2 linked regions of the Oreochromis niloticus genome follow. The protein of the gene in region 1 binds, or shares a complex with, the protein of each later gene. Links are inferred from orthologs where the notes say so. Each region holds a gene or a part of one and is shown in the gene's direction. Other genes may lie near its edges.

Region 1 (8,105 bases):
TTGGTTGATTAAATCAGCTATCACACATCTGCCCCTCAAATACCTCTCACATCATATCATATAAATTCTCCTTCATTGAAAACAAAAACTTTGCTTTGAGCAATATTTGCATCATTTTTTATATTATACAAATTACTCTATTCCATAATGTGGGTCATTAGAATCAATGAAACTGTGCAATCGAAGTAACCAAACTCCTATAATATGAATGCATGTGTCTCTTTTTTTTCATATTGTCCTTTTTTAAAGATCCTTTTATTGGATGAGGCAACAGCAGCCATTGACACTGAGACAGATCGTCTCATCCAGGAGACCATTCGCACTGCGTTTGGCAGCTGCACTACTCTCATCATCGCCCATCGTCTCAACACAGTGATGAGCTGCAGCAGAGTCATGGTCATGAACAACGGCCAGGTGAATATAAATGCAGTATGTCTGACTGTGAAACTCGGTCCAGTGGTTGAAACTCAATCGTTGATGTGATATTCCCTAAATTACTGTGTGTTTGATATGACTGATGGGATGAGGCGGTTCATATTTCACTTGAGCAGTTTTCAAGACTTTTGATGCTAGCTGATAACATGAAATGCACACAAGTAGTCAGCAGTTTATGTGTTTCAGCCCTTATCCCTTAATAAGTTGAGTTTGCATTTTTGGCATCAGTATGTAGAGTAAAATAAGATGGATGCATCAGAAGAGACAAGATTTATAGCTTGAATTTACACCCAATTTTTTGGCTGTGCAGTGGAATGAAAAAATCACAGACATTCATAAACGTGTTGTTTTATTAATATTAGATGTACCTAAATGGTTCATTACTTCATGCATTTTGCATTAAAAGACAATTAAATTTCCATTTTGTAATCTTTGGCTTTGTCTGTATTATAAAAGATCCCAAAATATCTTGTTGTTCGAGCCTTGTTGATAATGTCAACATGGCTCAAACAGTCAGTGTCGGCCACTGTGTGCCGGGAGTGATCGCTACTCCTTATAGGAACTTGTGATTCAACAAAGTGCAGCAAAGGCTGTCTGAGGACAATATTTCGCACATATTGAAATGCTTTTCATACACTGCCGCTGGGAAATATCTTCGGTTGGAGTAAGTTTGGAGATAATGTGCAGATTTTATATGCAAGTGCTGATTTTGTTTTATCCTTTTCATTCTCGTAGATTTTGGAGTTTGACAGTCCCGTTGCCTTGCTGGCAGATGAAAACTCAAGATTTAGAGCCATGGTAGAAGCATCAGAAAACCAAAACAGATAAAACACGCTGGAGCTGAACTTTGGACGTGAGCTGTGATCCTACAAAATATCCAGCTGAATAAATGATTTGCACACATGCACACACACCAATCCTGCCAAGTGTGAAAATGATGAGTAAAGAAATCCACTGATGGTTAGTCCATGCAACCGTGTCCGTTTATTTCCTCACCAAAGACACAGAGACAGCACTTCCTAACAGCACATCAAATCTCAGTATGCTAAGTGAGATCTATCAGCCACCTGCTCTTTGCCGCCGTGTCACAGGAGTTGTTTCCTGGGGGCCAAACAATTAACTGCAAGTGAAACAGAGCTGTGTCTCTGACAAATAGCACTTTATGTGTCATGTGGACACTTGGAAGGACGTAGGATGGTTCTTTTTTTTCTCTGGAGGTCAGTTAATCAGTCAGACACTAAATTAGTTTTATTTCCATGACTGAAACCTGACAGTCCGGGAAATTAATGTTAGGCAGAAAATGGTGTGGATCAGATTTAATTTCTTATTTGCAATGCTACTGATGTTTATTTGTTTATGTCAGGAATTTATTTGTTTGAATTAATTATTAAATGCAGTATATTTGAAAAAATCATCTTCTATCCATTCCTCAAAATGACTTTCCAAAAGAGGCTAAAATGTTTGTGTTTTTTGTTGTTGCTATAATGAGATAACTTCAGTAAATTATTGCAGATGTGATATGTGCCTAGACCTGTAAACAATTCCAGGTTATATAATGGAGTTAGCCATGTAAGCATGCTTTTTTTTTTAGACTGCATGCAAGCACTGTGTTTTCAAATTAGCTCATCTTTTCAAATGCTGGAGTTGAATGTTTTACCAGCAAGATCATTTAGGTGTTGAGGTATGGTGTGTGGTTTGCAACAAAGCTGAAAACAATCAGGGTGTGTCTGTACATGTTCTGTTTTCACACATGAGAGGACTGCAGACTTCTGCCTTCAAGTATGTGTTGAACAATCATGAAAAGTGCAATATCCCTTATTTTCAAGATTGCCTTTGTACACTTGAGATTGTGAAGCTGTAATATAAATTTGTTAAATGTGGGATTTTTGATATGAAGAGGTTTTTTTTTTGAATAAACTTATTTTTTATTTATTGGTGATGTGTCTAGTCTATTCTTATAAGATGTCCATCAAGGATGTTATGTGGTTGTTTGACTTGTTTCTTTGGATTCCTCAAAAAGTTATGAATGTATACGCAGGAAAGTGTTACCAGAGGAATTTTTGGAAAGAATCTATTGCATTCCTCGAGAAAACAAACTAGGGCAATTCATGTTTTATCTTCACATTGAAATAATTTCGATACATGCTTTTGATTTACCAGACTCGATTCATACATGCTGTGGAGGTCTTTATCAGCCTGAAAGCCTTGAGGTATGTAGCTTCATGGTACTCTTGTTTTAATGGTAAAGGAAATTGCAATATGTTAAAGTAATAGCAGTCAGTATAGTATAGAGGGAAAAAGAAAGTTTTGTAAAGTGTTTTGTTGCTCCTTAGCAGCAAAACATCTGATGATTTTTTCCCTGTGTGACTTGCCTGGAGTTAGCTACAAGTTTCAAAATGAGAATCAGTTAAAAGAAGTGAGCTTACAGGCCTTTGTCACCCTCACTTTATTCCCGCTTGAGGCTATTAGCCTGAGGAAATAGTAGCCAATGCTACCAGTAAACATGATTTGCATTGTGGGTACTGCAGACACAGTGTTTTTTTGTTTTTGGCAGGGGAAAAGAATGCATGGAATACAAAACACATCTGGTTGTACTGAATTTTAAAGCATTTCCAGTGTAAGTGAGACACGCTGTATCAGTGGACTCCTATTTTTCAGTCTATTTTATAAAAGTCACAGAGACATTTATATCATGAATATTCCATTAGCTCATTAGGGAATTGTGAAGCCTTTTGTTTCAGAATAACCCCGCATCAACATGACATCTAAGGCCTCCTCCAAGACTGTATGCAGGCTTTCAACAAACGCAAAGGTTAAATTGGGGTTTTATGAGACCATTTCAAAAGTGTAAAGCCCCAATCTGCAGATTTCAGCAACAATCCGCCCACATGCACTTCAGCAAAACTAAGAAATCCACTTTTTTTACCCTTGAGATCAACTCCAAGTGAAGAAACATGAAAGTAACAAATAGAGCATACGATTTTCCCATCTGGTCACCTCTTCCTGCAGTATGAAAATCCACCAAACTGGCATAAACAGCTGTTGGTAAATAACATAAATTCCTTACAAAGTAGGGAAATTTCACACAGGAGTAAAGGGAATACCTATTAATTTATGAAACTTGAACTATTCCACATAATGCAAAAATTACACTGCATTTCATTTGGAGTAACCTTTGTGTGTGTTTTCTCGGACCCCCAAATGATTGCATATCAGACTCAGAATGTCAGGATTTTTTGCCCAGGATTTACCTCCTCATCACACACCTTACAATAACCTTACCTGCTGCCTTCATCATAATGCATACTTGAAGAGTGTCCACAGTGTTTTTGTGTTTTAACTTTTTATTTTATTTTTTGGGGAGGAAAATATTCGAAATGTTTGACTAACTGTGAAGTTTTTTCTTCTTAAAAACTCTGACTTCCTCAGTCCGAGCTGGAAGGACAGATGTTCATATTACACTGAGATAACTGTTAATGTGCTGAAACTGGAGTTAAATATAGCATCCAAGCATTTTTGGTCATTCTTTCATTTATTTCAGAATAAAAATGGGCTAAGTGACGCATGTTGTATATATGGCAAAGTCCTGAGCGCCCTGTGTGTTCTTAAAAAAATTAAGGAAACTGGATAAGTGGAGGACAAGAGCAGAAATGGCAGATCTTTAAGAAATGGGGGGGAAATCCAGCAAAGACCTGACAAAGGAACAGACCGATGCATCTGGCCTTTGAGTTGATCCATTTACTGTTCGCCAAAGCCTCATTATAAGTGGTCTCAGTGTCAGGGTAGCTGTCATGAAGCCATTCTGAAAGAACAGGGAGAAACAGCTGAGGTATTCCAAATTACACAGACCTGGACTGCACAGAGCTCTTATGCAGTCAGTGTGTATAGCCATCTGTAAAACACGGTGTACGCTTTGTCATGGAACAAAAGGGAGGCAAAATCCAAGAGCTTTGGAGCGTCCTTTCTGGAAAATTATTTCTGAAGACATCTTAAAGAAATTACAAGAAAGCTTGCCTGAGTTCGGACTGTTTTTAAGAATAAAAGTGCTCATACTAAATATTGACTTTCCAGTTAGTTAGAGATGTACAAATTTATTTTGCCTTATTATACCATGTATATAAATCATGTATATTTACATTTACATGTGTAATCATATCTGTGTGCGTGCGTGTGTGTTGACTAGGCTTTAAAGGTTAAATGGGAGACCACAAATTATGCAGGATGTAGAATTTTTAGTCAGACATTAAAGCTAAATACCCCCTAATTAAACCTAATATTATATAATAGCCTAATAACCAAACACACGTGAGTGTTTTTAATAGCGCACTTTTAATCAGAAAGGAAAAACATGGAAACGACTAAAAAAACATTATTTGTTCTTTATTTACTTACTAGAGTAACTAAAAAGCACAAAGCTTTTTATGCAATATAGTTTCCTTGACTTTTATTTTGAAGTTCACGACTGGAACCCTGCCGGAAGTGAGTTTGGTTGTTGTAGCTCGCCCCAGGCTGCTGGAAGGAGGAAAGCCTTAGCTGTGATGCCGCTGGATGATGGCTGCTTTCGGGATCTTAAGTTACGAACACCGTCCATTAAAGCGGCCCCGACTCGGCCCTCCGGACGTTTATCCGCAAGATCCAAAGCAAAAAGAGGTCAGATTTGGCGACGTGCTCGATGAACGGCCGGGAGTAACGTTTTCTCGAGGAAAATTGTCGGCAGAGGAGCTGTGCGAGCTAACACTAGCTAGTCAATCTTAGCAGTCCTGTGAACGGTCTGGGCCTAGCAATAACAATGAACAGAACCTAGTTGTCAGTTTGTTAGCTAGCTTGCCCTGCTTAGTTGACAAGCAGCTACTTGGTAAGATCGCTGAGTTTGCTAAGCTAACTCTTTGGGTGGCGGATGCTTTGCAGTTTGATATAAACTGCAGCCATTGTCTTACTTTGTGGTTTTAAACAATATGCGCTCGGTTTTGGATTGTGCGTGACTATTGCTGTTTAATAGCCATATGGTTTGTTTTTACGAATAGCCAGACCTTCAAAGCTAACCTTTATTACCAGCAAGCTGTAAATGAAGCTAAATTATTTGCTGAGTTTTTAGATTGGAGTTTGGCCTAGCTGAGGTATCCCTTTTCGTTCATATCCAGCAATAACCTGATGTAATCTGTTGATGCAAATGGAAAAGTGACTCTTTATGTTTCCCCAATAATAATTTAAAAAATGTTTTTATTGTTATTTATGTTTACCTCATGTCTGCAAAACCAATCAACCACACATCCCGACTTTCTCAGTGGTCTAGGATCTCAAATTATACCACTAACGTCGCATGAAAAATATCAATTTTCTTCGCTGAAATGTGTTTCAGGATGAGTTGACTGCATTGAATGTGAAGCAAGGATTCAATAACCAACCAGCTGTATCCGGTGATGAACATGGCAGTGCCAAAAATGTCAACTTCAACCCTTCCAAGGTAATGGCTCATTTTAACACAGCTCCTGCCCTAGCACACCATTCACAACTGGATAGATTTTTCCCCCCTGCTGGGTTTTGGCCATCTTACATGTTCCCCTCTCTCTTTATAGATCAGCTCAAACTTCAGCAGCATTATTGCAGAGAAGCTGCGCTACAGCACGTTTCCAGACACAGGGAAGCGTAAACCACAGGTCAACCAGAAGGATAATTTCTGGCTTGTCACAGCGAGGTCACAGAGCTCCATCAATAACTGGTTCACGGACTTAGCTGGGACTAAACCTCTGACACAGCTGGCTAAAAAGGTAAAACTTAAAAGCCTTGTTTATTATTTATTATTGGGTATTCATGTAATTGCTTTCCTAGTTGAGCACAAGTCATTAAGCCACCTAGTTAGTGAGTTAATTGTTTTTAAATTTATGATATTAAGTAAGTACACATTAGAGCATAGTTAAAATTCCTGGGCTGTGGAGAAGCAAAATCACAACAACAACAACACTTTAAGTCTTCCCAAAGCATGCAGGAGGAAAGCCTCAAGTTAAGAGAACCTGAAAAGTTATTAATGATTTTGAATGTGCTTCAGTAGCCAGAAAAGCTACTGGGGGGATGGTAGGCAGTGGTCTGACCACAATGCCATATTCTTCTTCAGAAAGCTGACTAATAGCGACTGGGACGTCAGTAAAAGCATGAATATAAAAAAAACATTTATTTCAAATAGTCAAGAACGACATTTAATGGCAGCTCTAAATAATTTTGATTGGACTAGTATACTATAATATGATGACACTAATAAATGTTGTGATTTATTATAGTCTTCTATTAAAGGGGTCTTGTCACAGTTTCAGAAAGAGAGCCATTTAAAGAAACGAGTTTATTCTTTGCCTTGGATTAATACTGAGTGTAAACAGCTTATGAGACTCGGAGACCAGCTATTTAAAAAATCGTTACAATCTGGATTAAATACTGATCGATTAAATTTTATATCTGCAAGGAATAAAGTCACACAAACTTTGAGAATGGCAAAAGCAATTTTTTTCATGACTAATTAATAGTGCCAAAGGAAATTGTAAGCTAATTTGGGAAAATATTAACAAACTCCTTGGTAACAGTAAACATAATGCTGATAAAGACAATGAACTTAAATTTGCCAATGAACTGGTATCAGAGCCTCTCACCCTAGCTGCTAAATTAAATGATTTTCTAATTCTTATGACCCTCAACAAAATATTTGGAATAGCGACACCAAAAAGGATGTTTCTTCTCAAGATTCAAAGTTCAACATTCAAAAAATTACAGTAAGTGAAAGTAGAAAATATAATCTCTAAATTAAAAAGTTCTAAAGCAAGGGATGAGTGTGGATTTGCTACGAATTTCTTGAAGCATTATAAATCTTGTCTTTTGGTGCCTGTGACCCATCTTATTAATTTATCAATCACGCAGGCAGTCGTTCCTCTGAGTTGGAAGGTGGCAAAAGTTACACCAATTTATAAATTGGGTGATAAATCAGACCCTGCTAATTATCGACTTATTAGCATACTCCCTATGTTTTCAAAGATAGCAGAAAAGTGGGTTGCTAATTCTATCATCGAATATCTTAATGACTCCAATCCGGGTTTGCACCCTATGCAGTTTGGATTTCGCACTCTTCACTCAACTGAAACGGCTGTCCATGTTTTTGTTGAGAGAGTGAAGTCTTACTTAGACAAGAGCAGTTATGTTGTGGCTATTTTTCTTGATTTCAAGCGTGCGTTTGACACTGTGAATCATCTTAAGCTCTTGTCTAGACTGTCAACATTTAACTTCAGTAATCACACCGTTAAATGGATACAGTCTTATCTATCAGATAGAAAACAATGCGTGCAAATAAAGAATAGCAAGTCACCCTATCTTTACTGTACGCAAGGTGTCCCTCAGGGTTCAATTCTAGGCCCCCTGTTATTTTCACTTTATGTAAGTGACTTGTCCAATGTGTGCAAAAATGTGGACATGATTATGTATGCTGATGATACGGTAATTTTTACACAAGCCAAAACTGCTGATGATGCAGCCCATCAGCTTTCATTGGCATTACATGATTTACAAAAATGGCTGAATGACTCATGCCTGTGCCTTAATGTTAAAAAGACCGTATCTATGTTTTTTAGTAAACCTAAAACAGCCGTGGCTGCAGTAAAAGTTCGCGTGGGTGCACAAGAACTAATTAATGT
Region 2 (7,987 bases), about 13 Mb from region 1:
ATGTTTTTGTTGTACCATCTGTTGAGAACAAATTAACAACAATTAAATCAGTTTTGGAGGGAAAACAAAGTAATTCATTAGCAGAAATGAACACTGCAAATTAAAAGCATCGAGTAAAAGAAATGAATTCAAACTCACTCAAATCTTTCAAAGTTGTTGATGGATTTTTCAGCTACGAACGTACTGGGCACAAAACCCGAGTTCCTAATGAGTGACAGGAAAAGGGATTTAGCTAATGGTTCTTATTTTATAATATACTGCTATTTTTTAATGTAAACAGTTCAAATGAATTAGGTATTGGCTGTAATGCGCTTTACCCTCTTTCATCCTGTACAAGCCACCAGATGGAATGGGAATTCTTAACCAGGAGATACTCCTGATCTTTCTGAAGAGGTAAGTCATTGTCCCCCTGTGGCGTGTAGTTTTGCAAAGCAATGACCTTCTGTTGCCCCGAATCTTCCAGCTCCATCTGGAAAGGGAGGAAAAAATCAGATCTAAAAACCATTTGTACAGGTATGGAAGCTGAAAAAACATTTTTTTGGCAAACATAAGTCAAAATTTCGGGTTACTGCCTCTAAATTTCGACATACTGTCTTAAACTTCTGAGATGAAATGAGAAAATAACTTGATATTTAGAATCATGAAGCTGAAGTTTTGCGATAATAACCCCAAATTTTGAATTTAGCTCTGCCAATCAGGAAAATGTTTTTTTTTGGTGGTGGAAATAACCTGGTACAAATTATTGAAAGCCTGAGTGAACCCTTCCCACAAAGTTCGTACACAAATACGAAATCTAGCGCTTTCAAATGAAATTACATTTTCATGGTGCCATAGGAAAAAGTATCAACAAGGATTTTCATTTGACAAACTTTAATGTACTTCTATTACTTTCTATCTATCTATATATCTATCTTTTTAAGTAAACACTCAAACACATGTGCGCTGAAACAACTATAGAGCTGCTGCCTGAACCAAAGACAGTTAACAGAGCAGTGATCACACAAACTCAAACCACAGACATAGTGGTTAAAAGCCAATGCATGACCTAATTATTAAATATGTAGAGAGAAACTGTGTTTAAAAGCATTGCAGCCAAACATGTCAGGCAATAAAACTGAAAAAGTGATTTGGTCTACCTCGCTTGATTAGAATATCAGTAATAACCACAATAACATTTCAAAAGCGTGTATCGTTTGTGTTTTAGATGGTGGTACCTCTGGCTCCGGGAGGCTGGGAAGCGGCTTTTTAGAGGCTGTAGGGGAAACAGAAATGTTAAATTGGAGAGCTATTCGGCCCATCTAAACTCACAAAGCAACAACGATCTTAACTGGATTAGGCAAACTGAAAGCATTTAGTTCAAGTTTACTCAAGCCATATGTGCGAAAGCCATACAAACATCTGAATTTAAATGGAATCGCTTCCACAAATCATTGGATTCACAAAGTAGAAGAGAAGGAAAAAGAAATGCTACAAACCATAGCCCACTGGGTCGTACACGTTGCACCCACTCGCCAGTTTCTCTGTTTGCTGGCAGCATCTCCATTTTCCATCCATCCAGAAGTTTGGGTGGTATTTTGGAACTAAGTTGTTATTCTTTGTCTCTACACCAGACAGAACAAGGGAAATATTGTTTGAAATATCCATCTGTATGTGTTTGCAGTTCATACAATCAGCGGTTTATCATCGACTTGTCATAGTACTATTATTATTATTTGACTGGTGATATATGGTAATGGCTTACCCTCTTTAAGAGCTCTGACCCATTTCTGACGGCAATCATTGTCTGGTGCAAATATGTAGAGGTAATAACTGTCATGAAAAACCTGCAGAAGAATTGAGATTTTAAAAAAAGGTTATATGTGTTGTCGTTTTCAGTCATACTTCACCATACACTGTATATAGTGTGTATGACGCAGTGTTTAGTAGATTTTAATGCAGTGACAATTGAGTTGGTCTCTAGGAAATGATGAATCTTACCTGAAAAGGGTACTTAAAGCTGCATGGTATGGGCACATCAGTACACACAATCTCCACGCACTTAATTCTGGACAGCTCGATACAACCTTTCAGCAAAGGCTTTTTCTGGAAGAAAACAGCTTAGATTACAGCAAGCAGCCAAGAGTCTGCGTTTCTGAAACAGCTCTACAGATTAACCGCACATACTGTACTTACCCCGGGACGACGTTCAGAATACTTCAGGTCTTGGGTATCCAACACAAAAAATCTCTCCTTATAGTTACAGGGCGACACTCGCTTCTTTTGTTGGGATTTTTTGATCAGATTTCCTTTCAAAATCACCCTGGGGAACATTTTACCAGCTATGAGAAGCACAATGAGAAACACTGCCTTGTTTTGTCATACCAAGAGAGGCGGCATTGCCTACAGCATGCAGAGACAGAGTAGCAGTGAGTGTACAAGAAAAAAAATTGAGGATGATAAGTTGATAGATGTCGTAGCGTTTCCGGCATAGGGTTGTTGCACAGCAAACCACATCCTACGGCAACAAATGCGTTGTGCAAGCGAAAGACTCGCGTGCACGCACATACACACAGTTCAGGGTGCTCGCAGGCACTTTCACTCACTTAGTGCACATTGCAGTCAGCCACTATGAGTAGTGCGATCCACAGAAAAAGGATGACTCGTTAACCTTTACATTTTTCAACGCTTTCCATCAACATTCACTTCAAAGGTCACGAATGTGTCCCGCTAGTACAGTGAGGTTAGGGTTATAATATCAGCATTGGGCAAAGGGGGGGTTCAATCTAAGAGGGCAAAAAATGGCACATATCATTTTAACTTGAAACAAGAAAGTAATAGGGGAAAAAACAAAAGTTTTTACTGAGATTGTGAGATTGCAAGAAACACACACACACACAAAATCTGTTTTTTTCCTGCCATAATTAATACATTTAGAGTTTGGGGTTACATGTTTATGATGTCTTTTAGGATTTGCCCTGTTTTTTCTCCATCACTGCTTTTTTCTCCCTTATATTTTACTTGTTTTTTGGGGGTTTGTGTAGGAAAAGAAGGTTAATAATAATACAGGTTAATAATATAGTAACAATAATATTGTAACAGTAATGATATGGTAATAAGAACATAGTTGGGCTCCATTAATGATTTTAAAGTGACTGAAAGTTTTCAAACTGCCGAGGTAGTGCTGTCAACTTAGAATGGAAAAAAAATCTAGTTAAAGTTAAAATTTGAAAATATTTTTACGGTCACACTGAAAGGAAGATTTAAAGGATACTACAGCACCACCACCAGGAAAGTGTACCACCAGGAAAGTGTTCCAACAGTTTGGTGTGGATTGGATGAGTTGGGATTGCCACTTCATTTTTATTTAATTTAATTTATTTATTGTCAAAAAACAACAACAACAACAAAACAGATCCAAAAAGCCAAAATTACAAAATCGGCTTTGACTGTATATTTTTATACAGTTTGAACTGTAAATGTAAATGTAAATGTCAAAATTCAAGGCTCTTTTTTCTTTTGTCAACTAAAAAAATTTCCAGAAAATACCTTAATTTAACATTTTTAGGAGTTAACATCTGTGCTGTTGAATGGGAATTGTTCAGCAATTTTGTTCCATATGAGTATTTAATAAAAGAGAATATTTGTCATGCTGTATGTAAATAAGTGTAAAATAAGTGTAAAAGTAGATGTGAAGGACTGTGTCACACTAAATAATTTATTTTCTAAATCTAAAGCTCCAAACTAAAAATGTGGAAAGTTTTCATTTGTTTTAAAGATGTGACAGAATCAGAAGGGTGAACTTCAGATGCTCGATAAACTATAGTGTTTAAAAAAATTCAACTGTATTTTACTCTTCTTCTTGTTTTAAGCCATACATAGGTGACAATTGGGGGAAAAACAAAAAACAAAGGAAAGTTTAGAAAATTGTGTTATACTGACACAACCTTAAGAATAGATCCTTGCATTTTTAAGCTTTTGTCTCTTGTATTCCTAATAGTTTATATCTATTGTAATTTTCTTCCACATTTTATTTACCTCTTAAAAGTATTGGTGGCGTTGTAAACTGCTGGTTTGCTTTAACTAGAAAAATATTTGACATTACAAAATGATAACAGGTGCTGGAGATGGTCACTATTGTAAAAACACATCAGTCCTGTACAAAATAAGCTTCAAATTAAGCAATTTACTATCAAAAACTACAAGCTCAAGCGTGGTATCCTCGCACCCAATCGGTGTTTAGTTTGTTTGATTGCTATCGTCCAATCCGCGGGACAAAAACCAATGACGTCGAGCCAATAGCTTTGGGACTGAAACGAAAATCTTGTTAGTGTGGAATGGAAGGAGCTAAACTAGCTACAAGCTAATAGTCGGACCTAACAGACGTCTATCGTCTTATATCTTCAGCGACTAAAGAGTTATTTGAAAGGTGTGTATAAATATCGTAAGTCTTCCCCTTTTTAACGGTATTGTGGGTTAGCATTATATTTGGTGTAGCGATTTCACTCTTTAGCGGAGGTTAGCAGTTAGTTAGTCAGTTAGCTGGTAAGCTAACGACTGCAGTTAGTTGGCGAGTAAAGGGCTAACATGTTGATAAAACGAAGGTTTGCGACAGTAAATGGTAGTCTTCACTCAACTCTATTCCCATCCAGACAGCGTTTAACATAAGTCTTATATGCAGATATTTACCTTACAGACAACTGGCTGGGCAGTTTGTGCTAGCATAGGCCTCTTAGCACATCTTCCGAAGCGATGGTCTCAAACAAACACTGAATTTGTTTGGAGTTAGTGCAAGCAAGCTATTTAGACACAGCTAACGTCTCTGCAATTAAAAAGCTATGCCGTCTTTTTGCCGCAAACATCCTGCTCCTTGTCTACTTGTGCCCCCAATAGGGAAGTGAGAGAGAGACCTTTTCACTACACTATTTTTTGTGTGTAACAGTAGGTAAACCGGAGACTTACTAATGACACTGATGAACGTTCTGTTATATTTAGGCATATAGCCTAAATTAACGTTTGTGTTCATCTACTGTGAACTGTAAACACTGTTTTGGTTTGGTTTGGGTTTTTTTTGTTTAATGAATATACATTAGGTTTTGCAATTTGGTATGTTGTGTTCGTTTTTTATATATATTGAAATGGATCCTTGTGCTTTCAGGTCGGCATCATGGGTGAACCACAGCAGGTCAGCGCCCTGCCTCCTCCACCGATGCAGTACATCAAAGAATACACAGATGAAAACATCCGCAAGGGTCTGGCCCCTAAGCCACCTCCACCCATCAGAGATAATTACATGATGTTTGGCAACCATTTCCAATGTGATGACCTCATCATCCGGCCTCTGGAAAGCCAAGGCATTGAGAGGCTTCACCCTATGCAGTTTGACCACAAACGGGAGCTCAAGAAACTGAACATGTCCATTCTTGTGAACTTTTTGGACCTTCTGGACATCCTTATCAAGAGCCCTGGTAGTATAAAGCGTGAAGAGAAGCTGGAGGACATAAAGCTTCTGTTTGTCCATATGCACCATCTGATAAATGAGTACAGGCCGCATCAAGCCAGGGAGACACTAAGGGTGATGATGGAGGTCCAGAAGAGACAGAGGCTAGAGACAGCAGAGAGGTTCCAGAAACATCTGGAGAGGGTGGTGGAGATGATCCAGGGGTGCCTTGCCTCCCTGCCTGATGACTTGCCTCAAGTGGAAGGTCAGGATGGTGCTTGTGATGGGACAAAGAATGCGCCTCCTGCAGCTACTGTTGGCTGTTCCTCTGGGCAGGCCACCAGACTGAAAACGGAACCTATGGATATAGAGGAAGCAGCTGCCAGCTGCATGGCAACGAGTCAGCAGGAGAAGAGCATCCCTACTTCAAGGAGTGACAAATGGGACAAGGACGCTGCCATGTGCAGCATTATTGATGAACTAGCATAGTTTAATATTATGTTCTTTCTTTTTTGTCGTTTCTTTGCTGAACTCTGTGTAAATATGGCCCTTTCGTACATGATATACAGAATATTTTTGTTCTTTGTTTTTATAACTGGTTATGTCACTGCTCTTTGTTCCATAAGTCTTCAACATGACTGCATTCTGCTGTTGAGTTATGCTGTATATGCTTGTAATACATCTCTGTTCTCATGGTTTCATGCACAAGAGTGATTTAGAGAGTGAACATGTTATACCTGTGGTTTTTGCTATACACATAAAAGATGTGCGCCTGGGGCCTCAAGAATTATCAGTAGTAAATCAAGATGCTCGGTGACCTCTCTTCTGACTTGGGGAATTTCAAAACGCATCATTGACGAATGTTTCTTACTGTTAGCTTGAAACAGAGCTGATGAGATAAAATGTTGGGTGCAATATCTTGGCTGTTTATGGTTTTCTCAAGTGCATCGGTTCTCAAAGTTTTTCTAGTATGTTTAATGTTAATCCCCAAACTCCAGTTTTTATTCAACCACTAAGAAAAAAAGTTTTACTTAAAGGTCACATTAAGAAAAAAAAAATCCACTCAAGTTTCACTTCACCTGGTTGATTATACCGCACCAGTGTTTCCCATCATGCAGGTAGTGTGAGAACTGCTGGTCTAATAAGATGAGCACTTGAGCAAGAGAAATGCACAGTCATGCTCTTGTCCATGTGTGTCAGTTAATGTGACCGCATTCATTCACGTTTGTGCTGTTTTACTAGGTACCACACAGTAAGGCTGATGCCTAAACCTTTATTTAGAAGTGACCAGTGTACTCGTTCACCCACGAAACTTGAAACTATGACAATAAATGCTGTCAAATTAACAGAAAAGGTGTGAATGTCAGAAATGGACATGTGAGGGTGTTAGCTGTGTTTTCACACGTCCCATTGAATGTTATTTAAAATGTAGAAATTCTAATTCCTGAAAACGTATTCCCAGAATAGAAATATTAACACAGTTAGCAGGTAAGCTAAGTTTGCATTATTGTAATAAACCCAATAAACAAATTTGCAGTCAGAGTGCAGTAATGTCACAGAAACATAGACGGCTTTATTAGACCCGTCAGAGCAGAGTCGCATGAAAGCTCATGTAAATGCTGGACTGCCTTTATGTTTGCAATGCATGATTCTTGTCACTGATTTGCAGGTTGTGTAATCCATGGAGAGTCGTCACACAAAAGTCATCATGTATATTATGTAAAATGTCGAATAATTCTGACCCCCTCCCCTTCCCCGTTTTATAGGTTTTCATAAGCATACCTAACAGTATAACCAGTTTTGTGTTGCCTTGCAGCAGATTGCTCTTACACAACTGTTCGGGGACAGAAATGTGAGCATTTCAACTGGCTGCTTGTAAAGCAATTGCAAATGCACGTTTGGTTGTTGAAACTGAAAATACACTTCAGGCTGGTGATTGCAGCGCAGATTTCACTACTTGCGTTTCTGTGATGTTAGCTGAGGCGTCTATGTAACTTGCAGAAGTTCAATAAATCAGTGCGTGATACACAAGATGTGTTTTGGCCTATTTTTTTTTTTTTTTTTGAAAAGATGACAAAATGTTGTTTCTCTGAGAATTCATCAAGGATATCCGTTCTAACGTCTGTGCTGTTTTTTTTAGGCAGCCAAGAATCGTAATGTGTGTTGCTCCGAGACAGGGCTAAAGAGTATGTGTATTTGGCTAGTTGCAAATGCTCTGCATTTTATGTAATGATGTAATGGCACAAACCTTATGCAAATTTTTAGCTGAGCATAGACTTTAAACTGTGTTTGTGTTGACCTTTGTTTTTAAATGTCAAACAGGATGGACATGAACAGGTAATATGCACTGATCCTTTCACCGCACCCCCTCGGAAGTTATTACCCTCAGTTGGGATTCCCGTTGAGGCAAGGTAGTTTCCATAATTTTCTCCACCCTTGGATTTATCATATCCACCATTTTTTCCTCTACTCATACTATACCATCAACTCGTGTCCTGGGGTAGTTTAAATGTACAGATGAAAATAATGGGAAGCGTAGTCGAAGGAATTATGTTATGAAACTCGGCATCG

The links.
Region 2: med12 (region 1) and med7 share a complex: the UniProt entries of both Homo sapiens proteins name them as parts of the mediator complex. The link is inferred for Oreochromis niloticus from reciprocal best matches to the Homo sapiens genes MED12 and MED7.

Annotation. Positions count from the first base shown.
Region 1 is NC_031966.2:17,413,596-17,421,700, forward strand, and holds the start of med12 (mediator of RNA polymerase II transcription subunit 12), read left to right. Parts: upstream 1-4,913; 5' UTR 4,914-4,983; coding exon 4,984-5,085; intron 5,086-5,794; coding exon 5,795-5,899; intron 5,900-6,011; coding exon 6,012-6,203; intron 6,204-8,105. Other genes in the region: wu:fb13g09 (multidrug resistance-associated protein 5), read left to right, coding at 250-414, 1,171-1,263. UniProt on the Homo sapiens protein: Component of the Mediator complex, a coactivator involved in the regulated transcription of nearly all RNA polymerase II-dependent genes.
Region 2 is NC_031966.2:30,305,658-30,313,644, reverse strand, and holds med7 (mediator of RNA polymerase II transcription subunit 7), read left to right. Parts: upstream 1-4,247; 5' UTR 4,248-4,420; intron 4,421-5,134; 5' UTR 5,135-5,143; coding exon 5,144-5,905; 3' UTR 5,906-7,447; downstream 7,448-7,987. Other genes in the region: itk (tyrosine-protein kinase ITK/TSK), read right to left, coding at 1-18, 139-204, 318-469, 1,215-1,252, 1,476-1,601, 1,742-1,823, 1,978-2,082, 2,173-2,310. UniProt on the Homo sapiens protein: Component of the Mediator complex, a coactivator involved in the regulated transcription of nearly all RNA polymerase II-dependent genes.